Linked DNA regions of Arabidopsis thaliana. The protein of the gene in region 1 purifies or fractionates together with the protein of each later gene. This does not show direct contact. Each region holds a gene or a part of one and is shown in the gene's direction. Other genes may lie near its edges.

Evidence for each region.
Region 2: the proteins of AT1G31220 (region 1) and KELP fractionate together in Arabidopsis thaliana (co-fractionation; one large-scale study listed by BioGRID). This does not show direct contact.

Annotation. Positions count from the first base shown.
Region 1 is NC_003070.9:11,149,721-11,162,384, forward strand, and holds AT1G31220 (Formyl transferase), read left to right. Parts: upstream 1-6,977; 5' UTR 6,978-7,343; coding exon 7,344-7,689; intron 7,690-7,863; coding exon 7,864-7,978; intron 7,979-8,084; coding exon 8,085-8,261; intron 8,262-8,360; coding exon 8,361-8,487; intron 8,488-8,574; coding exon 8,575-8,688; 3' UTR 8,689-8,963; downstream 8,964-12,664. Other genes in the region: AK-HSDH I (aspartate kinase-homoserine dehydrogenase i), read right to left, coding at 9,024-9,269, 9,366-9,458, 9,533-9,616, 9,701-9,836, 9,941-10,086, 10,220-10,445, 10,526-10,608, 10,694-10,888 and 7 more.
Region 2 is NC_003075.7:6,691,478-6,704,141, reverse strand, and holds KELP (transcriptional coactivator p15 (PC4) family protein (KELP)), read left to right. Parts: upstream 1-4,942; 5' UTR 4,943-5,038; coding exon 5,039-5,338; intron 5,339-5,516; coding exon 5,517-5,622; intron 5,623-6,156; coding exon 6,157-6,248; 3' UTR 6,249-6,283; exon of another isoform or gene 6,284-6,468; intron 6,469-6,686; exon of another isoform or gene 6,687-6,798; coding exon of another isoform or gene 6,799-7,209; 3' UTR 7,210-7,430; downstream 7,431-12,664. Other genes in the region: AT4G10925 (Nuclear transport factor 2 (NTF2) family protein), read left to right, coding at 1-107, 276-472, 906-1,155; AT4G10910 (uncharacterized protein), read right to left, coding at 6,799-7,209; AT4G10895 (Plant self-incompatibility protein S1 family), read left to right, coding at 9,432-9,677, 9,964-10,143; AT4G10890 (DDE family endonuclease), read right to left, coding at 11,205-11,302, 11,476-11,622, 11,724-11,801, 11,995-12,063, 12,555-12,614. UniProt on the Arabidopsis thaliana protein: General coactivator that functions cooperatively with TAFs and mediates functional interactions between upstream activators and the general transcriptional machinery. Binds single-stranded DNA.

The DNA of each region.
Region 1 (12,664 bases):
CTTAGCCACTAGACGAGCTTTCAGTTTATCGATTGAGCCATCCGGGTGAAGTTTGGTTTTAAAAACCCACTTGGAGCTTAGAATATTCATATCATCAGTTGGAGGAACCAACGACCATGTATGCAACATATGGACCCGGTTAATCTCCTCATGTACTGCTTCATTCCAACCAGGATGCTTCATAGCGGATGCAAGGGTTTTTGGTTCAGCAGTATTCATTCGAGAGGTGATGAGAGCATACCTCGTGTTTGGCTTTTGAATTCCTGCCTTTGATCTTGTGGTCATTGCATGAGAATTGATTACTTGTTCTTGATTTGCAGCAATCTCTTCTGCTACTGGATTCACTTCTTCATCACTTCCTTCATTATTAGAGGTAGGTTCAGGATCTGTCAGTTGTTCTGTAACTTGAGATCCTGCATATGTATTAAGATCAATCGGTTTAGAAAACAATTGGACTGGAGCTGCAGGTACTGAAATCTCACTGATCTTGTTATGTTGCCAAGCTTGAAGAAGAGGTGTTGAGTACTGAGGGACTAGAGATTGATACTTTTCCTTGAATGGTAGTTCAGACTCATTGAAGATAACATTTCTTGAGATATAGACCTTGCCTGTTGGAGGGTAAAAACAGCGATATCCCTTATATTGGCTGTTATATCCAAGGAACACACATTGCAAGGAGCGCGGATCGAATTTGTTTTGAGCGAGAGGTCTGAGACAAGGATAACATGCTGAACCAAACACACGGAGAGATGAATAGTCTGGCTTTTCCCCAAATAACGCTTCATATGGACTCAAATTCTTCAAGACAGAGGATGGTAAGCGATTAATGATGTAATTGGCAGTGAAGAAGGATTCTACCCAAAACTTCTGAGGTGTATGACTATGAAAGAGCATAGACAATCCAAGCTCCACAAGATGTCTATGTTTTCGTTCGGCCAATCCGTTTTGCTGTGGGGTATAGGGGCATGAGATTCGATGATGGATGCCATGCTCACTGAGATGTGTTTTTAACTTGTTGCTCACAAACTCTCCTCCTCCATCACTCTGAAATACTTTGATCTTAGTGTTTAGCTGGTTCTCTACCAACTTCTGAAACGAAATAAAAACTGAGAGAAATTCTGACTTGTTGTGCAAAGGATAGAACCAAGAGTATCTTGAATAATCATCAACAAAAATAGCATAATATTTGAGGCCTTGGTTGGATACAACTGGAGAAGGACCCCATAAATCACAATGAATCCGATCTAGAGGATGTAAAACACGAGAATCTGAAATTAAAAATGGTAGTCTTGAACTTTTCCCCATCTGGCAAGGTTCACAAACTGGAGATGTTCTGCTCTTATTTATCTGAATCGCCTTGCTGTTTTGAAGGTGCTGGAGAGCCTTAGAATTTGCGTGTCCAAGTCGGTGATGCCATACTTCCTCTGTTGCTGCACACTGACGGTTTGAATAAAGAGCCACAAACTCTTGATTCTCCAACACATAGAGCCCATTTCTACGAGGACCCGTGGTTACCACTTTCTGTGTTTGTAAATCGATTATGCAAACCTTATTAGCATCAAAGTAAACACCGCAAGGATAGTCATCACACAACTTTGACACAGAGAGAAGAGATTTTTGTATATTTGGAACAACCAAGACTTCATTTAAAGGAATCTTACCATTTGAGGATTTGATAGTGGTAGATCCAGTGTGAGTAATCGGGAGATAAGTGCCATCGCCAACCAAGACAGCATCATCCCCTTCGTACTCTGTTGCAGACTGAAGTCCATTGGTCGATGATGTTACGTGAGCCGTCGCAGCTGAGTCGGGATGCCATTCCTTGCCTGTATCATCTGAGACCCGGAGAGTAGAAAAAGCTTGTATTTCAGCCTGGTAATTGTTATCAAACCGATTGTAACACTTGAGAGCAGTGTGACCAGTGCGACCACATATCTGACACACCGGTCTTGGACCTGAAACTTGTGGGGAGGATTGATGTTGGGAAAACCCTCGTCCACGAGTTGAGTAGCCTCCTCTGCCTTTATTTTGACCAGAACGTCCTCTTCCTTTTTGATTGGGGTTGTATTGAGGAGATCCAGACTCAGATCTTTCAATGTTGAAGGCAAGGTGAGGAGTAACAGATGCCGCTTCTTCATATGATTGTAGCTTACTGTCAAAGCCTTGAACTTCTGAGACAACATCATTGAAAGTTGGAGTCGGAAGCTTGCTGAGAGAGCTTTGAATCACCGTGGTGATGGGGTCATAGTCACGACCAAGACCGTTAAGAAAACCAAAAATTTTCATTGATTCATCGACTGGCTTGCCAATGGAGCTGAGAGCGTCGCAGATGGTCTTGAACTCTCGGCAGTAGACAGAGAAAGGCTTTTCCTTTTTGGAGAGAAGCTGGAGATTCTGACGAAGTGAGAACTCACGAGCAACACTGCTTTTGTTGAAGTTTTCAGCTAGAGACACCCAAATTTGACGAGAGGTGCTTAGATTGTGAACATGACCAAGGACTTCTTCAGACAACGTGCCAAAGAGCCATGACCGAACTAACTGATCGGTACAGAACCAAGATTCATACAGAGGATTGGGTTCCTCGGAGGTGACTTCGCCATTGACGACAAGGCGAGACTGAGATGGTGCATTGACGGCGCCATTAACAAAACCTATGAGTTTTTGACTCGATAGGAGAGACTCGAATTGAGTTTTCCACAAGAGGTAGTTACTGTCTGTGAGTTTGAGAGTAACAGAACTTGTAACATGAACATTATCTGGAAAAGGGTATGAGGTCGCCATTTGAAATACCTGTTAAGGCTACAAAGGCTCTGATACCATGAAACGATTAGAGAAAGTTTCAAGCTTTTGGTAAAAAAATCGTTTCTTTCTCAATAATTACATTAGGGTTTTACACTACTCTTTTATAGACATTGTAGAAGGAGGTAGATATGGAACAGTCTAGAATATGGCAGATGCTGTGTAGCTGGCTATGGTGAGTCATCAGGCAAAACGCCCCTCCTCTGTACGATCGTTGCTCTGTTTTGAGCTGGAGTCTATTTTGTCTTCTTCTATTTGACTGGGCTGAGATGGGCCTTTTGTTGTTGTTGGGCCGGTTACTTGTTTGTTGCTCACAATTGCCATTTTCTTATTTACAAACAATGTAACTAGGGTGTATGTCGTTTATATTTGTCTTAGTTATTTGTTTTTGATTTGCAAATCTCTAAATTCTATCAATCTGTTTTTTTTTTCTTCTAATTTTCAATATTTTTTCTATGAGTAAATTATTATATCAACTGTTTCTAAAAATTATCTAATCATGGTATGTCTTAGTTATTTGCTTTTAGATTGAATTACATATTAATTAGATAACAAAAATGGTATCGAACTTCCACCATTGGTTCAAAAAGAAGGTACCACTACAAAAAAATTAATATGCTTAACATAATTTACTTATTAAGTTAGCCCTTTTTAAAAGTGAAATTCTAATTATATAATTGCTTGTAAAATTAAGGGTTTTGTGCAAAAAAAACTAAAAGTTGTTCTTTTTTGTAACTTTACCCTTCACGTCAAAAAAATGTAAAATTATCATATGAAATCTAAAATAATATACAATATAGCTTTTCTAATTGTTAATTTTTAAAATTTTGATAAATAATATATGTACATTATGTGATTATGAAAACGTTTATAGTATATGTAAAGTTAAGAAAAATGGGTTATATATTATTGCATATTATTTTGGATTTCATATATTTATTTTGTATTTTTTAGACGTAGAAGGTAAAATTACAAAAATAGAAGAGTTTGAGAGGGTTTTTTTTTACACACCCCTATATATAATAACACTAGATATTGACCCTCGGTACACCGCGGGTTGATTATTTGCGTTAGAAATTAAATTATTATTTTTATTTAATATTATCCATATTTAATATCAAGTTATATTTTGAATTCATCATTTTACATTTTATATCTATTTACTTTTGATGTTATATTAGTATTTGTTTGGTTTGATGTTGTTTAGTTTAGAAAAATCTTTTTATTATACACATCATTTATATAGAGTGTGTATTTTATGGTACGTAATTATGTGTTTGTTATATAATACTTTTTTTTGTTAAAAGTAAAAGTATTATAACTACCTAAAATGTATATGTAGATATGGATATGACCCGCGGTACACTGCGAGTTAATTTTTTTATGACAAAATTTAAGTTGTAATTGTTTTATTAATATTGTTTGTTTGTTTTTCTTAAATTGTATTTTGATTGTTAGTTCTAGAATTTCACCCACTGTATACCGTCTATATTAATATAGACCAAAACCCGTCCTACCGTATAACAATTTTCCGTATAATTGTATAATTTTTTTTTTTTTTTTTTTAATTATATTCCTGTATAATTATATTTTGATTGTTTATTTTAGGATTTCACCCATGTTATACATCTTGTATTAATATCGACCAACCCGTGCTACCATATAATATGTCCCGTCAAATTGAACACCATATTTTTTTTTTTTTTTTTTTTGAAGATTAGCTGAAGATATAACATATTAATTTGGTTTTTTTTTTGAAGATTAGCTGAAGATATAACATATTAATTTGTCTTATTTAAATATAGATATATATCTATGTATTATTTAGTGTATGATTAGTATTGTTTAGGTTTCAATATTTAAAATTTAGATACGAAACATACAGTTCATTAAGTAACGATGTAGCAGATTTTAAAAATTGATTTTTTTTGGTTTTAGGATTTTAGTATGAAAATATTAAAAGTATATAGGAAATGGTATGTACGTGAAATAAAGAATTATTTGTTTTTTTTTTGTTCCATATATACTAAATATTATTAAAAATCTGTATAATATCTTGTATTTAAAATTTAAAATCTAAATAATTAGTGCATTATTCTAGCTGAGATTGATCCGCAATATACGACGGGCTGTTTCTTAAAAATTTTTGTTATTTATAAACTTATGATTTTGTTGTATATAAAATTAACCAATTTATTGTGTATGATTTTTAATTCGATGTAACTCTTATATTTAAAGTATAGTATTATTTAGCTTTATTATGGCTGAATATTTATATGAATATGTTTTTGACCTGATCCATCAAAATCAAGAGGTTTTAACCCCCATGGCAAATATTTAGTTTTTGTACTTTAGATTTTAAAAATAAAATTTAATATATGATTATTATTTTTAGATCAAAGTAAATATAGTAATTTTAGGTTCTATTTTATAGTCAAAGTTCTAAACCATTCACGTTTGTTTAACTATTATTTTATTTTTTTCAACGAAAAAACTTTATTGAATAAAGATTATTAGGTCCGATCATAATACAACATATCATAAATCTAAATCAAAGGACTCAAACAATCCGAGAAAAACATAGAATCTATCTAACCTTTTTCTGCCAACAAATGAGCTAACTGATTACACGATATTTTAGTAAAAGAGAAAAAGATATTTCTAAACTTGGTTGCCCAAAAGTGAATATTTTTGCGTAAGGCTTCGGTAATGAAGTCCACCGTAAGAACCTTGATGATGTTGATGAGCGCTTCAGAGTCTCTATTTTTGATAAATTGATGTATAGCAGTCAGACCACACTTGATGCATTGACATTAGTAGAGCTTTAGCTTCAGCTTCCGGTGGGGTACGTACGGCTCCCCATCTTTTTGCTTCACCTTGACATGTATATTTAATTTTTTACTTACATAAACTTCTTTACAAAATAAAAAAAAACAGAACCGCAAATACAACAAAATTAAACACACGTATATATACACACAAACGTTCATATATGAATATCTAAATAGTTTGGAACAATAATACACAGGTCGTTACCAAAAAGAAAAAAGAAATACACAATTCTCAAGTATTGTGTTCTTTAATACAGAAATCAACATCAATACATTGACATCACATTCATAAAGAAGGGTAATACGTACAAAAAAATAAAAAAAAAATAAAAAGAATGCCCATGATGTGTGTGTTTGATAATGTGATGGGAGATAAACATATGTAGTATATATAGGCTTGGAATGATTAGGTCAATATTTTGGTGAGCAAGCAAAATTAATTTGCGATCTTAACTAAAATGGAATCAAATATACGTAATTAGAATATTTTAGGTATATGCTATAAATGCGATTTGTCATAATAATTAAAATTTTCTATAAAATCTTATGTATAAATATTTTGTAGTGTATAGCAATTAGTTATGTCGAGATATTTTAGAAAGATTTTTCCGAGAATATTGGCAAAGATTTGGGAAATAATTTGATGTGGTAAGATTATGATATTGTGAGGCACTAATATTCCTTAAAATCAAGTATATGCTTATTTTAAATAAATAGAAATGTAGATATGAGTAGTTGATAAAAAATCAAATTGTTGATATTCTCATATATTTCGAAATGAATGTATATTATTGATAATAGTGGAAAGTTTTAATGGCAATTGTTTAGCGTTAATCGTTTTGTATTATACATTTTTGGATTTACTAATCAAACCGGAATTATTGTTGTAATTGATAACAAAAGAATAAATTTTGGTAAGATTTCATTAGCATTTAAAACTATAATGATTTCCGAATCTAAGTAATTATAGATATGGTTAGTTAGGATTTAGTATCAAATTTAGTAATTAGGAATTAATGATTTGCGAATTACGTAGAGTTTATAGGGATTGATTTGTGCAATTTATTAGGGTAATAATTAACAATATCTATGTTTAGGCAAGTAGTTAGTGCAATATCATAATAGTTAAACAAAAGTTTGGTCATTGTCCTAAATAAAATATCTTGTTTGATTGATTTTATAGGGACTAAACATACAATATCAAAATTGAAAAAGAATTTTTCTACACAAATCGTTCCAAAAATGTATATGTAGATTCTTAATATAAACAACAATTATTCACTTGGCCCTAATTAAACCATCAGCCCATTAAGCCTCTTATTACCAAAACCCTTCAAACCCAACTTCTTTCCTTCTTGTTGACTTTCCTTCTTACTCTGTCGTTGACTCTCTTTGCGACTTCTTCTTCTCTTTTCTTCATCTTCTTCTCCCTGATTCCTTTTTCTTTTGTTGCAGGACTAAAATCCCAACACCTCCCTCCTGAGTTCTTTGATTAAATCCCCAATTTCAATTTTAGGGTTTTGATTCCCATTGTTTCTTTTGATTTATCTTCATTCCGGAAATTGCTCCGGTGAAACAGCAGCCACCGCCACATCTTTCTCCTTCTCCGGCAAGCAACTTCATTCCGGATTTTCGTCTGAGACTTCATTCTTGTCTCCCTCTTCGACCAAACTGACACTTATTCCGACAAAACCCTCTGATTAGACCGTCGGAATGGAATCACGGGTTTTGTTCTCTAGTCAATTCAACTTCCCGGTGAATTCACCGTTTAAGACCCGTGAAACCTCGATTGCTCCGCTCACACCTTCCCGGAATGTTCTCTCCTTCTCTTTCCGTAGTCCCGCAGAGAGATGTGCGATGAGGATTGTACCGCTTGTAAAAGCTGCTTCGTCTACTCCACAGATAGTAGCGGAGGTCGATGGTTCGTCTCACGAACCAAGAAGGAAGAAGCTTGCTGTGTTTGTGTCGGGAGGTGGTTCAAATTTCAGGAAGATTCATGAGGGATGCAGTGATGGTTCTGTTAATGGTGATGTTGTTTTGTTGGTCACTAACAAAAAAGGTATCACCTTTCTTCTTCTTCTTCTTCAAGTTATTTGATTTTGGTCTTCTAAGTTGCAATTATAGTTTCTATGTTGTGGTTCTTAGAGTTAATGAATCAGAAAAGAACTGCTAATATATGATTGATTAGTTAGTGGAATTTGAATAGCTTACTTGCTTAATTTCATCAATTTAGATTGTGGAGGTGCTGAGTATGCAAGAAGTAATGGAATTCCTGTTTTAGTATTCCCAAAAGCGAAACGAGAACCATCTGATGGACTCTCTCCTTCAGAACTTGTAGATGTACTAAGGTTAGCATATCTCTTGGAAGTCTTTATTTGTATCTTTACCCTTGGAAGTGAATGTGTTTACCTCTTTGTTGAAAGTTCACTATATGTCTCTCAACTTGATGAACAGGAAATATGGTGTAGACTTTGTTCTTTTAGCTGGATATTTGAAACTTATACCGGTCGAGCTGGTCCAAGCTTTTCCTAAACGGATTCTAAATATTCATCCTGCTCTTCTTCCGGCTTTCGGAGGCAAAGGTCTTTATGGTATAAAAGTGCATAAAGCTGTTCTAGAATCGGGAGCTAGGTAAAGTTTCAAGCTCATATAATGTTATGGATGTGTAGTGTAGTTTCTTTTTTCCCTTTTCTTGTGCAAGAAAACATTCAACGGTTTTTCTTTCCGTAGATATTCGGGTCCGACAATTCACTTCGTCAATGAGGAGTACGATACAGGTCGGATACTTGCTCAAAGTGCAGTCCGTGTGATTGCTAATGATACACCAGAAGAATTGGCCAAAAGGGTTCTTCATGAGGTACTACTAAAGAATATCTTTGAACATTACATTTCACTGTTCAGAAGATTTCATTTTCTTCTTTTCTTTTTTCCATCTTGGACTCAGGAACACAAACTGTATGTCGAGGTGGTGGGTGCGATTTGCGAAGAGCGGATTAAATGGAGAGAAGACGGTGTCCCTCTCATTCAAAACAAACAAAACCCTGACGAGTACTATTAGATTCTCAACAAATGAAGTTATTCATTGGATGTTAGATTAGTCACATTTTCAAAACAAAGTGTTTCAACATAGGTTATGTAGAAGAAGTTTTTTTGCCCGAAGTATAGATTGAGACATGTTTCTGATACTAAATTTTGTTTCGGTTGGGTCAGAATCATATGGAAGGAGATGAAATTCGAGTCAGGAGACAGCATTTTAATGCTTGTGTTGTATAATACCAACAGTCTTTATTCAATTTTTTCCTAGAATGTTTTATTACCTTGAAGTTTGGTATCATCTATAGAAATCAAAATCTCTGAAATCCAAAATACATATGCTAGCATGTAGAGTGTGCTTTAAGACGGAGCCCCGAGATAGAAAGCAAGGCGAAGAATGTCACTGAAGATTCCACCGGCTGTGACTTGAGCACCAGCACCAGGTCCACGAACAATCAGAGGCTGTTCTTTGTACCGTTTGGTTGTGAAAGCGATGATGTTATCAGCACCCGATAGCTGAGCAAACGGATGATCTTTTTTGTACCGTTTCAACTCGACTGTTCCCTTTTTCTCTACTGCATCTACAACTCCTACGTATCTCAAGACCTAAACAAAGACACAACGCAACAAAATCTGAAATGAGTTCTTTTCAAGACGGCGCATTTGGTGTTAAAAAAGTTTTGCCAAGGAGGTATTACTTACTTCTCCTGCTGCTTCAGCCTCTTCTCTTTGTTTGGATAATTCTTCATCAAACTGAGGAAGCTTCTCCATGAACTCTTCTGCTGATGCACAAGCCTGTGAATAAGAAATGTCAAAAGGATTAACCTTATTGTTGATGAATTTAATTGTGTGATTATACAGAGTCTTACTTGTAACGGCTTTGGCACAAGATTCTGGACTGGAAGGCCCTCAAGATCCAATTTTAAGCCTGATTCTCTGGCAAGGATTGTTACCTGCAGAAGTAGCAGATACGAGAAGGTTCAATATTTTTTTACAAGGTGCATTGGCTCGATTTGTTGACAGGAAAAAAACCTTACTTTTCTGGCAACATCTGTTCCAGATAGATCATCTCGTGGATCTGGTTCTGTGAAACCTGCTTGCTTTGCTTCTGCTACAACTTCACTGAAGCTTCTGGTGCCGACAAAGTTGTTGAAGAGGTAACTTAAAGTACCACTGCAGAGAGGCATCAAAGCAAATTTTAGTGTGAAGGTGCAAAGCAAGGCCATTGTTGTGTTATCTGAAAAAATTACTGTGGTACCAAGACGAAGAGGAGATACCTGAAAATTCCCTCAATTCGCAGTATTTTATCCCCTGTTTCGAGGAGACCACGTAAGGTGCTAATAATTGGAAGACCAGCTCCAACGGTGGCTTCATAAAAGTAATGTGTGTACGATTTTCGTTGAAGATCTCTGATCTTTAGATACTGCATTTACAGGAGTGTTACCAATTAGTCTCTCTGTTCATAAAATCACAGAATCTTAATGGATATATATCAAGATGAACATATATGTAGCTCCCGATCCAACAGTCATTTAAACAAATATCAAACACTTTACCTGATCAAGTGGTCCAGAGTTAGCCTTTTTGTTCGGAGTGACCACATGAATTCCTCGTAGCAACCAGTCGTAGTAACAGCTAGCGATGTCAGCATCGGCTGTACAATCAACCATAACAGAGTTTGGGATGAAATGATTTCCCTTCACATATTGGGTGAACTTCTCCATGTCAGCTTTTTCTCCCTCTTCTTTCATAAGCTCTCTCCATCTTGATAAGTCAATCCCCCTAAAAAGATGACGATTGTGTAAAGATTACAGCAGTAGAAACTTCACCAAAAAGGTAATGTATCAGGTTCGTTGGCTTACGATTCACTCATCAACATTTTACTTGAGCCCGTGATCCCTATAACACGCAAGTCAATTTTAAATTCTTCTTTGAGCACTGCCGCCTGTGAAAGGAAATTTAAAGATGATGCAGCTTGAACATTGATCCATATTTTACTATAATCTCGCATATAAGTATCACATACTCACCTGATCTCTAATCTGATCAAGTAAGGTTCCACCAATTAATCCCGGTCCTATGATTCCCACTGCCAAAGTGGTTCTCGAAAGGTAAAATCTTGAGTGCACAGCTCTTAATGCCCTGATGCAGTCTTCACGCTTGACGACTACTGTAATATTGAACTCGGAGCAACCTTGGGCTATAGCACGGATGTTGATATTGGCCTGCAGTTATTTAGGTATGGCAAATGGCAATGTATCAGCAGAGCTTCTAAGCAGAAAAAAGGATATGAAATGTATGATGAACCGTCATCTGATTTTCTTTGCAAACACTACACTTAACTTACCTTTGCTAATGCATTAAAAAAAGTGGCAGAAACACCAGGAGTGCTCGCCATTTTCTGGCCAACTGCTGCTAATATGCTACAATTAGGGATGATTTCAATCTGAATGAAAACAATGAAACCATAGTTTGAGAAAAATAGTAGATGCCAAAATAATAGTCCAGTTGATTTGCTAAGAGAATAGCTATTTGATATCTTTCGAAGAACAAAGAGAGATATAAAGGCACCTGGGAAAGGCGGCCACCAGCCAAAGCTTGACGAAATCTTGAGTTCAATGCTTCAGAAACAGCTTTCACTTCCTTCTCAGGTACAGCAAAGCACACAGAATGCTCGCTACTAGCCTGCATTTTATGTAATTATATTAAGAAGTTACATTTGACAAGGGAATACATAACTGATGAAAGAAATTATAAAGCTGAACTAAATAACCTGCGATATCATAATCACATTGGCTCCAACTTCCTTGACAGCAGAAAAAATGGCACTGGCAGTACCAGGAACACCAGCCATTCCAGTTCTATAAAGAATATGCAAAGTTTGTATAAGAAATACAATAAGCAGCCGAGTGTGTAATACAATATCCACTATCAGCTCACCCTTCTACATTGACAAGAGCCAAATTGTCAATCGTCGCAAATCCTTTCACAGGAGCGTCTAATTTGAATCCATCTTCATCATCAATCTGCCGGCATATCATTGTTCCAGGGGCAGAGAGGTTGAAAATATTCCTTATTACAATTGGAATGTCATATTTCATCACTGGAATAATGGTCCGAGGATGTAAAACGTTTGCCCCAAAGTAAGACTGCGCAGGCATATGAACATGAATGTTAGGTGTAAACAACGATTCTGGAAAACTAGGCATTAAACAAGTGCAAGAGGTTGGAAATTTACCATTTCCCAAGCCTCTTGATAAGAAAGAGTCTTCAGCACAACAGCTTCACTAACTGCACCGCACAAATTCATTAGCATAACACAGACAAACATGATGAGGAACACACACATATCATGGCTCAATAACTAGTCCTAGCTATATGGCAGTTAATGTAGGCTTGCACATACCTTTCCTGGGATCTGCACTGTACACACCATCAACATCTGTCCAGATTGTGAGTTGGTGAGATCTAAACAGAGCACTCATTATAGCTGCAGAGAAGTCACTCCCATCCCTTTTAAGAGTCGTTGGAATGTTCTGTGGTGTACTGGCTATGAAACCAGTTGCTATAATAATCTTTGCCGAGTTCTGAGTAAACCATTTTTCCAGTCTTTTTTCTGATTCCACAAAGTCAGGGTCAACTTGATTAGAGCTCGTTGGAATAACAACAAGCACATCCCTTGCATCCATCCAAGTGCAGTCCAATCCGCTCTAAAAGAAAAATAGACACAGGCATATAAGAAAGGTAAACCACAGAACAACTAGTTCTTTGTAATTAGGATTTTCTCGCAGAACATCATATATGACTTTAATACCTTTCTCACAACAGCAGCTAACATCTGAGCAGACCACAACTCTCCGTGGCCAACAACGAAGTCTGAGAAAGATTCGGTTGCATGACCAGCTGCAGAAATAGAAGAGTGAGATTTCAGAAGAACACATACAAATCCAATTCAATTACTTAATAACCTCCTCCTAACAATATGCATTGAGAATTGACAA
Region 2 (12,664 bases), on another chromosome or scaffold:
CGCTTAGTTACTTGGATTATCCCAGTCTCTGTCGCTTATCCATGACTAATTCCTTGATGAGGAAAGCTGCTAATGATGATAATGCTTGGAAAGCTCTTTATCACAAGGTAATTAGATTCACTAATCACTCATTTGTATTAGCTTTGTGTATTGGAAATTCAGAAATGATTCTAGGTTAAAAGATGTGTATTCTTAGCAGTTTCTGGATTAGTGTGTGTTTTCGTGAATGGTGCTATTTTGTTTAATGCTTCTCTTACTTTTTTCTCATGTGTTAGGATTTTACTCTGGAGCAAGATGGTATAACACCAGTCAATGGGTGGAAAGAGTACTATGCAACTACTAGAGCGATTATTAGTGTGAATACGGAATTCTTCACCATCATTAGAGACAGAGCGCTTCAAGCGATGGCTCGGTTGTGGTTGAACTCGGACTATGTCAAGTGTATCCATGCCTCTGGCGAACTCTTCTCCGGGTAACAACTCCACATTTCACCCCCTTTTGTCATTCTAATGTGTACCTAGCATGTTCTTTAACGGTTTTGGGTATGTTTCTATGGTCTTAGCTATGAGATGGTATCTGAGTTTGAGTATACTAGCGGAACAATGCTCTTGTGCAGTTCCTCGTGATACAAGATGTTAAGAGTATTGTATGATTTAGTAAAAACGTTTAAGCAAAAAAGTTATAGCAATAAGATAACAGAGTTAACAGTAGTATATCCACAGCAGCTCTGATAGAATTTGGATTCTTTCAGCACCTTCCATTGTTTGAGTCTACTCCACACAGTTTTATTCTTATGCATCTTTGTTCTAGATTTGGCCATCTTCAAATAGGCTAAATACATCTTTGTGGATTTCATTAAAAGAAATCGGTATGAATCATCTATGTTTTCCCTTCTTGAATTGCAGGTACAATGAAGTGATACAAAGCTGGCAACTTTGTTTCAATTGGGAACAAGGGTTTGACTTTCAGGTCCACACGGTTCGCACTCGGATACTAACAGACATGGCTTGGGTCACCATGAAGGCATACCTGAACGTGGATGGTGGTCCATTCCTAATAACCAATGTGTTCGAGTTCCACAATGGAAGGTGGCACATGGTTCATCATCACAGCTCAGTGATGCTCATCGATGATCAACAAGTTGTTGTTCATTGATGAATGATGATAATATCTTTTAGTTTTGGTTTCCTTCTCTTCTTTTATTTTCATGGGGACAACAAATAAAGAAGAAGAAAGAAACTGCATATTGGAGAAATTGGCTTATTAGATTTTTAGTGGTTATTATTTAGTTTTAACTACATGTACTGAATGTTCTATTTTTTTTTTTTTCTCAGTTGCTGTTGAATGGTTGGTCTAATTATTACTTTTTCCTAATTTCTATTTGGTTTTTGGAATTGAATCAATGGTTTTAATCTAGTAAGTAGAAAGGAAACGCTGGCGTCAATGTCATAGATGCACACAATCCTCTGATGAGAGCTCTTAATGTGGCATAGAGGATCTTATTGAATGACGACCCAAATTGCAACTTAATTAAGAGTTTTCACTTTCCATGACTGGGACATTGTAAGATAAAGGAGTCGTAGGTTGCATCTCTATCCGATGAGCCTCGCTCACTATATAGTGAGTGGTAATGTGCTGTAACTGCAAAGCACTTGGACTAATACTGAGTATGAACAAAGATCAAACAAAAACTTTAATTAAACCTTTGAAGGTCTTTTAGTGAGACTTAAAGAGCTTCAGATTATTATTACCCCATGACGAGTCTTGAGATAAGGAAGCTAGTTTCTCCATGATACATGAATGTATTCCGTATGTGAACTGATGATACGATGGATAAATCGTTAATAAGAATGCGGTTGTTCCGCAATTGTGGAAGAAAAAAAGAAAGTGAATCTGAGGGTTGAAAGAGAAGTACCAAAATCCAGAAGAAGAAAGCAATATGAATTCAGAAAGAGAATGAAATGGATGATTTGGTTGTAGAAATAAGGTTTTGGTCGTATGTATTTTTAAAAAAGAATTATTATTAGTAAATTGTATTTATGTTATATTATATTATTCACAAATATCAATTTAATATATATTTTAAAAATAATGTACTTATAGAAAAACTTGTACTTATAGCCAAAATAGTTAAAAATTATATTTTTTAGGCTGTGAGAAAAAATAAGAAAAGTACAACATGATTGTAGTTTTTTAGTGTCTTTATAAATTTCCTACACCCCAACCAATCAATCATACTCGGTGTCTTGAAGAAAACATAAAAAATATTTATAGGAAGACATGTAACTGAAGATGCGTGTTTTAAGTCATAATTTTTTTTTTTTTTGAAAGACACCCAACAATTCACTAATGGAGGTTGTCTAAAAAGAATAACCAAGAAAATGGTCTCTGAACCCATCTCTAAAACTATTTTATAATGTGTATATGTAACAGTAAGAAGTGAAAAAAAAAATCCATATATCAATTAAGGTGTTAAAAAAAAAAGTCCATATATCAATCACTTTTCTAACATCGTCGATCATTGTGACGAAAATCGCTTACGTCTGTACCGTATTAACGTAATGCCATCAAACGAAAAAGTTTGCTCACTCACTCCGGTTTAGATCTTTGTTAACATAAGCAAACTTTTCAGAGAGTGAACTAATAGATTCACGAAACGACACCGTAATTAGTATCGAAAACTTGACTGACATCAGCCTAAGAAAAATATCGCAAATTGTTATAAAATATTAAACTTAAGAAGAAAAATGAAAATATAATAGAGTTTACTTAAAAAAAAATAATGGGTTAGCTGATTTTATACCCATAAACTAATTGCATTCTCAGCTTTTTCCCCCACACTTTTTGGCTCTTAAATTTCTACCATAAACTTTGATAATTCTTTAAATTACAACATGTACTTTCGGATTCATCCTTAAACATACATTTCCAATTGAACCGGTCATTAAACCAGGATTAACCACAAATCCGCGTTTACTGTACCACGATGCGATTTACCCGATTAATCACCTCTATCCGTTAAGAAAAGGGTTGGCTGATTTTATAGCCATAAACTAATTGCATTCTCTGCTTTCCCCCTCACACTTTTTGCTCCTGAAATTTCCACCATAAACTTCGATAATTCTTAAAATTGCAACATATACTTTCAGATTCATCCTTAAAAATATGTTTCCAATTGATTTAGATTGTCATTGGAACAATCTTCAACCTCTTTTGTCTATTTTGGATGATGTATTTTCGGAAGTTGATTCTCTTTAAGATGATATTATTTAGGTTGACTAATTGATTTGGAGTCTTATCTATCCTTATGATTAGGAGTTTTATCTAGTTCGATTTGTCATTTTCCTTACCAATTAACACAACACATAACATATATAGATAGATTCACATTATAAAACAAAGAGAAAACGATGTCGTTTTCTTAACGGGTGTGGGATTAGTCGGGTAAATCACAATAGCGGTACACTAAACGCGGATTTATGGTTAATCTCGGTTTAACAATCTAAATCAATTGGAAACATATTTTTAAGGATGAATCTGAAAGTACATGTTGCAATTTTAAGAATTATCGAAGTTTATGGTGGAAATTTCAGGAGCAAAAAGTATGGGTGAAAAGCAGAGAATGCAATTAGTTTATGGCTATAAAATCAGCCAACCTTTTTCTTAACGGATATGGTGATTAATCGGGTAAATCGCAATCGTGGTACAGTAAACGCGGATTTGTGGTTAATTCCGGTTTAAAGACCGGTTCAATTGGAAATGTATGTTTAAGGATGAATCCGAAAGTACATGTTGTAATTTAAAGAATTATCAAAGTTTATGGTGAAAAATTAAGAGCCAAAAAGTGTGGGGAAAAAGCTGAGAATGCAATTAGTTTATGGGTATAAAATCAGCCAACCCAAAAATAATAGAATTAACAAGAAAGTAAGAGACTTAAGGAAAGAGTAATAGATAAAAATAAGCATTATCCATATTTTATAGATAGAAATGAGCGATGGATTACCACCACGCTTATACGATTGCGATAATTACATCTATACTTATCCAGTTTTACAGAAAAAATAATAGATAAAAATAAGCATTATCCATATTTTATAGATAGAAATGAGCGATGGATTACCAGCACGCGTATACGATTGCGATAATCACATCCATACTTATCGAGTTTTAAGGAAAAAGTAATAGATAAAAATAAGCATTATCCATATTTTATAGATAGAAATGAGCGATGGATTACCACCACGCTTATACGATTGCGATAATCACATCCATACTTATCTAGTTTTAAGGAAAAAATAATAGATAAAGATAAGCATTATCCATATTTAATAGATAGAAATGAGCGATGGATTACCACCACGCTTATACGATTGCGATAATCACATCCATACTTATCTAGTTATAAGGAAAAAATAATAGATAAAGATAAGCATTATCCATATTCAATAGATAGAAATGAGCGATGAATTACCACCACGTTTATACGATTGCGATAATCACATCCATATTTATCTAGTTTTAAGGAAAAAATAATAGATAAAGATAAACATTATCCATATTTTATAGATAGAAATGAGCGATGGATTACCACCACGCTTATACGATTGCGATAATTACATCTATACTTATCCAGTTTTACAGAAAATATAATAGATAAAAATAAGCATTATCCATATTTTATAGATAGAAATGAGCGATGAATTACCACCACGTTTATACGATTGCGATAATCACATCCATACTTATCGAATTTTAAGGAGAAAATAATAGATAAAAATAAACATTATCCATATTTTATAGATAAAAATGAGCGATGGATTACCACCACGCTTATACGATTGCGATAATTACATCCATATTTATTCAATTTTAAAGAAAATATAATAGATAAACATAAGCATTATCCATTTTTATAAATAGAAATGAGCGATGGATTACCACCACGCTTATACGATTGCGATAATTTCATCTATACTTATCGGGTTTATAACACCGATAATCCGATTTGGTCAAAATCCGGCGGAGAAAAACCCTAAAAATGGAGAAAGAGACGAAGGAGAAGATCGAGAAAACTGTGATAGAGATACTCAGTGAATCGGATATGAAAGAGATAACAGAGTTCAAGGTTCGTAAACTCGCTTCGGAGAAACTCGCAATCGATCTCTCGGAGAAATCTCACAAAGCATTTGTACGAAGCGTCGTGGAGAAATTCCTCGACGAAGAGAGAGCGAGAGAATATGAAAACTCACAAGTGAATAAGGAAGAAGAAGATGGAGATAAGGATTGTGGTAAAGGAAACAAAGAGTTTGATGATGACGGCGATCTTATCATTTGCAGGGTTTGATTTCATTGCTTTTTCTCGAATTCGATTACTGATTTTGCTTGAAATAGGATTGATTTTGATTTGTATGTGGTCTCGTAGAGAAGCTAATAGTGTTATCTCTGAAGCAGAGATTGTGAATTAGTGAATGTTGTGTGTTCTGAATTTGGAATGTTGTTGTTGTTGTTGTTGTTAGTTATCGGATAAGAGAAGAGTGACGATTCAGGAATTTAAAGGGAAGAGTTTGGTTTCTATCAGAGAGTATTACAAGAAAGATGGCAAAGAACTTCCTACTTCTAAAGGTACTTTAAAGCTCTCTTTGTTCTATCACAATTTTTCAGAAATTGTAGAGCCAAATTCTGTGTTTATGTGCAAATGTTTCTTTCAAGTTCCACTTTAGAGTTGCATCAAAGTGATTTTCGTTCACAATTCGAAATTTGGAGTCAATGATGATTCAGAGTTGTTATTGTTTTGGGTGTGTTAAGTTTCAGTTTTGTATATTAAGTAAAAAGCTTTGGTGATTACAAACCATTTTGGCCGAAAAGTTGTTGACTTGAATGATTCTTTCAGTTTATGGTAGTTTAGTTTAACCTAGCACTTAAGCTTGTTCTGTATTACATCTTTGAATTTGTGCAAGTCCTGATATTTTGTGTAAAAGTCATTAAATAGTTTCTGTTTTATCTACTTTGAGAATAGTTATTTGGGTTTGAATATAGTTCATCTTTTCTTCTCTATAGATAAAAAAAAAAGGGACAACCATTTTACTCAAAATGGACCATATTGAGAATATTTTTGATTCATGTCTGGTCTCTGATATGTTATAATGTTATCTCCAGGAATAAGCTTAACAGATGAACAATGGTCAACCTTCAAGAAAAACATGCCAGCCATCGAAAATGCTGTCAAGAAAATGGAATCGCGTGTCTGAATGAAGAACATGTGATACTTTATCTCTAAACATGTGTAAGTGTCTTCTTAAGTAGTTAGTTGTTCGAATGTTCAGGTCTCTCATGTAACTGTCTTTTTTATTTTCTTCTCTCGAATTGGTCGTTATGTGTCTCGTACTGAGTTGTATCCATTTCGCTTTAACCGATTCCAAAAACTCTGGACCAAAGTACAAAACCATCTGATCCGGTTTCAAATTTCAATCTTTTGCATTTGAACAAACCGTAACCGAAACTAAACAAACCCCAAAAAAGTAATCCTGCTAAAACCTAATATTTTTTAAATATTTTCTCAAAAACCAGATCAGACTGAAACACAGACTGTGTCAAACAGAACCAAATGTATTAATTTTTTCCTCAGTTGGTTTCTATATTTCACAAAACATAAACTTCGAAAACCGAGTTAGATACACTCTTTATATAACAAGATATTTTTTTCATTTATCAAATGTTTGTGCTATATACACTTTTTGCTAGGATTACAAATAAGCCACATAAAAAAAACGCAATCATCGAACCTAACAGAAGTAGTTCTCATTGTCTTTTTCGGGACTTGGACAATAAACTTTTAACTCTGACCATCTCAGAGGCGGAGGTTGAAGAAACTAAAGCTTCTGCTGCAGCAAACCGGAGCTGATCAATCAAAGCGTGTGTATTGCCTTCAACTGCCAAAATCTCTTCAAGCTGCTTACTTCCGATCACCACTTTCGCTTTCCAAACTCCATTTCTTCTTTGCGGCGACACTTGTATCCTTGGCCCAAGTACTCCTCTAGGGCTTGTTGTACCTTGTCTAACAAGATACCCTAGTGTTTTCTCCCTTGTTATTGGCAACGAGCTACATCTCCGGCTTCTGTAATACTCTTCCAGGATGTTTCTTGAATTTGTCGCAATTACGGTAACCGAACCACCACCATCAGATACTGCTCTTTGCGAACAATTCCCCATCTTCACAGCAACTAAAAATGAAGAAAAAATAAGAAAGAAACAGAGAGTTTAAAACTAAATTTTGAGTTTGATTTGATTGTTTTTGGTTCAAGATAGGTTTATAAATACTAAAGAGAGAGTAACTCTCAGACAAGGATTGATCAAACAGTCTCTTTGTTGTCTCTTAATCTCACTACTTGCATGTGATACTCCGCGCTGTGCATAATACTATTACCTTATCCTCATCCTTTATAACTCATTTTTTTTCTAATTTTTTTCTTTTTTTGTTCTCTTGCGTTCTAGATAAAATTCTTATAAAAAATGCCAGCAATATAGCAAATATTTCAACTGAATATCTTCGGGGATAGACTATAAGTGATTTTTTATATTGTACTTATAGAAACACACATATATACAAACTATAATATGTACAAAAACATATCATATATACAAACTATAATATGTACAAAAACATATCATAAAACAAGAAATATGTATGTATGTATGTATGAATACATAATGACATATAGATAATATGACCCGTGGCCCGTGGGGATGAACCAATAATTTGGTTGATTTTCATTTATTAGTTTTGGAATCGCACTATGCAATAACTAAGCTATTACATTAGGAACATCATTATTATTTTATTTTTTTCAACTTATGGATAATTTTATTGTAGGACTATTTGGGTTAGTAGGGAAGGAAGGAATATCAAATCCCGTGACCATATTAATTTTTATAGGCATATCATTAACCAATTATCATTTTCATATTAAATCATTCACGGGTTAATATGCATATCATTAACCAACTATTTGGAGTTCGTAACATATTTTAGAAAACGAAAAAAAGAAAAGAAGAGCCCAACCAGGTTCACACCGGTGACCTCTAAATTTGCAGTCAAATAGTCTACCACTGAGCTATGAGCTCTTTCAAATTTTATTATTTAATTAATTTGAAATCAAAGTATAATTTTTAATGGACTTTATATCTTTGGGTTTGTTATTTTACCTCTCTGTTAATTTTTGAATCATAGAAATTTTTGAATTACAGATGTTTGAAATCTCCAATATAATTTACAAATGTTTTAAGTACTATAACATAGTTATAAGAAGTATGCGGCGATTTGGGGGTGAATTTTTTTTGTTGGGTTTTCTGGAGATAAATAATAGGTTTTGGAAAGTAATTAGCTTATTAGCCCGGTCACACTATTAATTAGAGGATTAGATGTGAGAATGTGTGTAAGAGAAAAAAATGTGTGAGACTGTGAGTGGGTGTAAAAAGTGGGCATGTGAAATGATGATTGAAACAAATGTAAAAATAGAAGGGACATGTCAAGATTTTATTGATAGTCCGAATAATTCATAATAACTATAATTCTAAATCTACTGTAAACATTTAGTTTATTTTTTTTTAAAATTAAAACTTACTAACTATCCAAAAAACCTTTTCACTAAACAATATTTTTGTTGTCTACTATTTTATTCAAAAGATAAGTTTTTATTGCCTTTGCATTATTGAAACAATGATAGTGATGAACGTATTAAGGCATAATTTTATGTATAACATTATGATATATTACGATCATAAGTTATAACTTCAGTTACATTTCTATAATTTAATTTGATATTTTTGTCTTTTGAACATGTGATAATTACTTAAACCATATGAAATGTGCTTAATAATGGTGAGTGTTAGACTCAATGTTGTGCCAAATGAGATGGTTTTTAACTTGGTTCATCATTTTTTGTTTAATTCGATTATTTTCTTTCAATTTAATATTCAAGGATAATGCATTTTTCTAGAGTGGATAGCAAATTGTCTTTCTGAATATCTCTATATTTCAATTCATGAATAAAGTTGACTATGTGAACAAATAATTCAAAAAAAATATACTGATTTGTACATTAGATATGCTGGTTTCATAACAAAGAAAATATAAAAAAACAAAAATAATTGACAAATAAAGGATTACAACATAAATTAAAAAAATAATCTAAATGTGTTAATGAAATTTAATTTTGCAAGTAAATTTATGCAAGATTTGTTTGTTTGTTTCCATTAGTTTACATATTTTAAAGAAAAATATATAAAAAAAATAAATGATAGGATATAACTAACCATATAAGAGAGAACAAAAGTAATGAAATTAAATACATCAACAAATGTGACATATTATATTATATATATATGTGTGGAATTCATGTTAAAGACAAATACATGTTGAAAGAAAAAAAACAATGATAGAAAAATTTATAATATATTTTGCCTTGTTCGCCTTTTTAATCCAAAGAACAGACTCTATTCTTACATTTAGACGTTTTAACATTGAAATTTCAAATCAACTTGGGGGTAACAATAAACTTATGGTCCAGTGTAGATCTGGTCAGGAATCGACCCGAGTTGTTTTTCTTGCATTCAGTGATGTGTTCAAAGCTCCTTTAAGAATTGGGTTTAAGACATTGATATGGTGCACCTTATGGAAGGTAATTTAAAAAAAATAAAAGAGAAATCTTTCACGTTCTTAAATCTGAATGTATATATTTACAGTAAATTTGTTATCTTGTCCATACATTGGTGAATAAATTGTTTTACTTTTATGGACGGGAAAAAATTTTGTTGGTCAAAAATCTTCTACTCTACAAATGGATTGGTTTGGAGCATCTACAATAACTATTGAAACCTCTAATGTTTATATGATCTTTAATCGTTCTATAATTATGTTTTTATTTGGAAAAAAGTTGTGATCATCTTTGTTAATATATCTTTCAGGGACCTGATTTTAAGCATCATGTAAGTTTTGACGCATTTGTTGGGAAAGAGAGTTTTATACATGATGTATGTGGGAGTATGAAGCCTAACATATGTTTCTGGCAAGTGCAAGATGATGGAGTATGGGCACGTAATAATCCAACCGGAGCTCTCAAGTTAATGTATAAATGGAATAAATAAACGAACCAAATATTAGCTCTTTCGTTTATCTTTGTTAAAAATATTGTTACTGCTTTTACCGAGATCTCATAAAACAGATCACTTTTTACAAATTTCTCCTATTATGACTAACATCAAATTATATCTTTTCGTATGAAAAGCCCGTCAAGATTTGTAACATCAAATAACTGAATTTGAAGGTTTTCTTCGAAGTCTAGAGTAAACTTAATTCACCTAAAGATTCAAATGTTTAAAATGTTTAGAGAATTCAACTATATATATCAACCACAAAGATAACAATCCCATGATTTGAAAGTAAACAAATTAAAGAGAGACGCTCAATTACGAGGACGAGTGTTCTCAGGAGTACCACCGACGCCTGACATAACTTTAGCGACATCACCTGCTGAAGCTTCAGGCTTCTTCTTGCTGTACAACACCACATAGCCAATTCCACCGATTATCACCGCTCCAACCGCTGCCGCTCTCAACGGACATATCCCTAACGACTTCCGCTGGCCTAGCACTTCACTTGACTGCTTTGCTGCTTGTGCCGGTCCTGCCATTTCCCTTCTTTGCCTATGTATATGTATGTATCTTTCTATTAAAGTAAACTTATCTATCTCTCTCAAAAGTTAACTTCTTCAACTGCTTTTGTGTTTGTTGAAAATTTGGAATATTTGTAGAAGAGATTTGTGGTTATTATGGTTAACCCGCACTCGTAGGACATGCTAAAGACTCGCTCCTTCGCTACATCTTATTTCTAGCTTTATCTATATTTAGCTTCATAATAAAAATGTAGATGTCTTAGAAATTTGTCATCGTTACATTAAGAGAATTTCGTGGAAACTTTCTCATTTTGAAGTTAACTTGCACGCAAATTGGAGCATAAACCATTCAATTTACTTACTAATTTCTGCTTATGCATAAAACTACATACTTTTTCCACGGTACATACTAGTTTTGATTTTAACACAGCTTAGAATGAGAAACTATATTTTCGAAAAAACTATAGTTCGTGAAGAACTTGAGGTAAAATGAAAAAACGAGTTACCTATTTTCTGTAATCTTGAGGGGGCTGTTTAAATTCCGAGGTCGAAACTCGGAGGATCACTCATTAAGCAACCTCTTGTGCTGGCCGATGAGGTTTCTTGCACCATTACTTGTTCCGTAGATGCTTCTGCAACTCAGATAAGCAAACAAAGAATTGTTTGTAGTGATGAGATTCTTATAGATTTCAACAATAAACCCAAAAAAAACTATAAGAACAGTTTTGTATTCTGAAAGGCTAACTATTTATACTTGGATTTAGTTAAGCTTTACAAGTCAAAAAGGTTGAAATTCCGGAGTTACCTTTCGTTGAAATAGACTCCATTTTGTGTCTTTTGCTGGTTTCAGATTCTGGAGGTACTTTTGTCAAAAGCACAGATGTTTGCATGTTATTATCAGAACATGTCTCTGTAGCATTCCGTTTCTGAAGAATGGAGAGTATCTGATTTACTGCAGTGAAAAGAAAAAGCTTGTTTATGTAATGTTCTCATGAAATGGTATTATGAAGAAACCGCATGGAGAAAAACACAAGCATTTAAATAAATATTTACCATCACGTAAAGGCTTGGGTGGAGGAACATCCTTGCTTAACTTACAATTCTCTAACCTTGAATCTACAACAGACCTTCCTGCACATTCACACAGTACCATTTTAAGGAGGACAGGATATGTCACATTAACCTATTGCTATACCAAACAGTAGAATGATTGGAATGTAGAGGAATGTGGCTTTACAAACATGAGTTCTACGATTCAAATCTAATCTAGTGATTAGTGGCATAGAATTAAAAAAATGTGGTATGTAGATTTCCTATATCTTACCAGTACATGGAGAGTTGATCAAAGGGTGGTTATTGCTTTCTTTATCAACTGAGCCAAGAGATACAGTACCTGCATACATGCTGTTAGTCATAGCATGCACAAAAATAGTAAGTATAGATGTACATTCTGCATTTCTATCTCGCATTCATACATTCTACATTCTGCATGATTAAACCAAATCCAAAACACATAAAAAGATTACTATATCCCTAACATGAAGTTTGTTCGTGCATGGGGAAAAAAAAAAATTCTCCATCCTAATGGAATTATTAATACAAGCTTCTACGAGTTCCAGAAGATCCTTAAAATTAAAGTGTCAATCTAACTGAACAAGCAGGTACATGCCGTACATGATGAAAACGATATCAATATACTGAATACAGAGCTGATATACATAGCATGGTTCATCCATCAGTGTGATATTAACGAACACCTAACAATCTGAAGCATCAATTTTGAATTAAGCAAAGTGCCAAAGGTCTATTTATGAAATGGTTTGACATTCTGCTTTCACTATCTCCAATAGCCAACTACATAAACATATCAAGCAAGCATCAAACCTTTTGTTGTTGAGTCTGGAGTCAGTGCCCCATACTTATGCAGTTCTCTCTTTTTGAATACTGAAAGTGTACACAGAAAACATTACTAGCCTGCAGTGCTCGATTTTCAC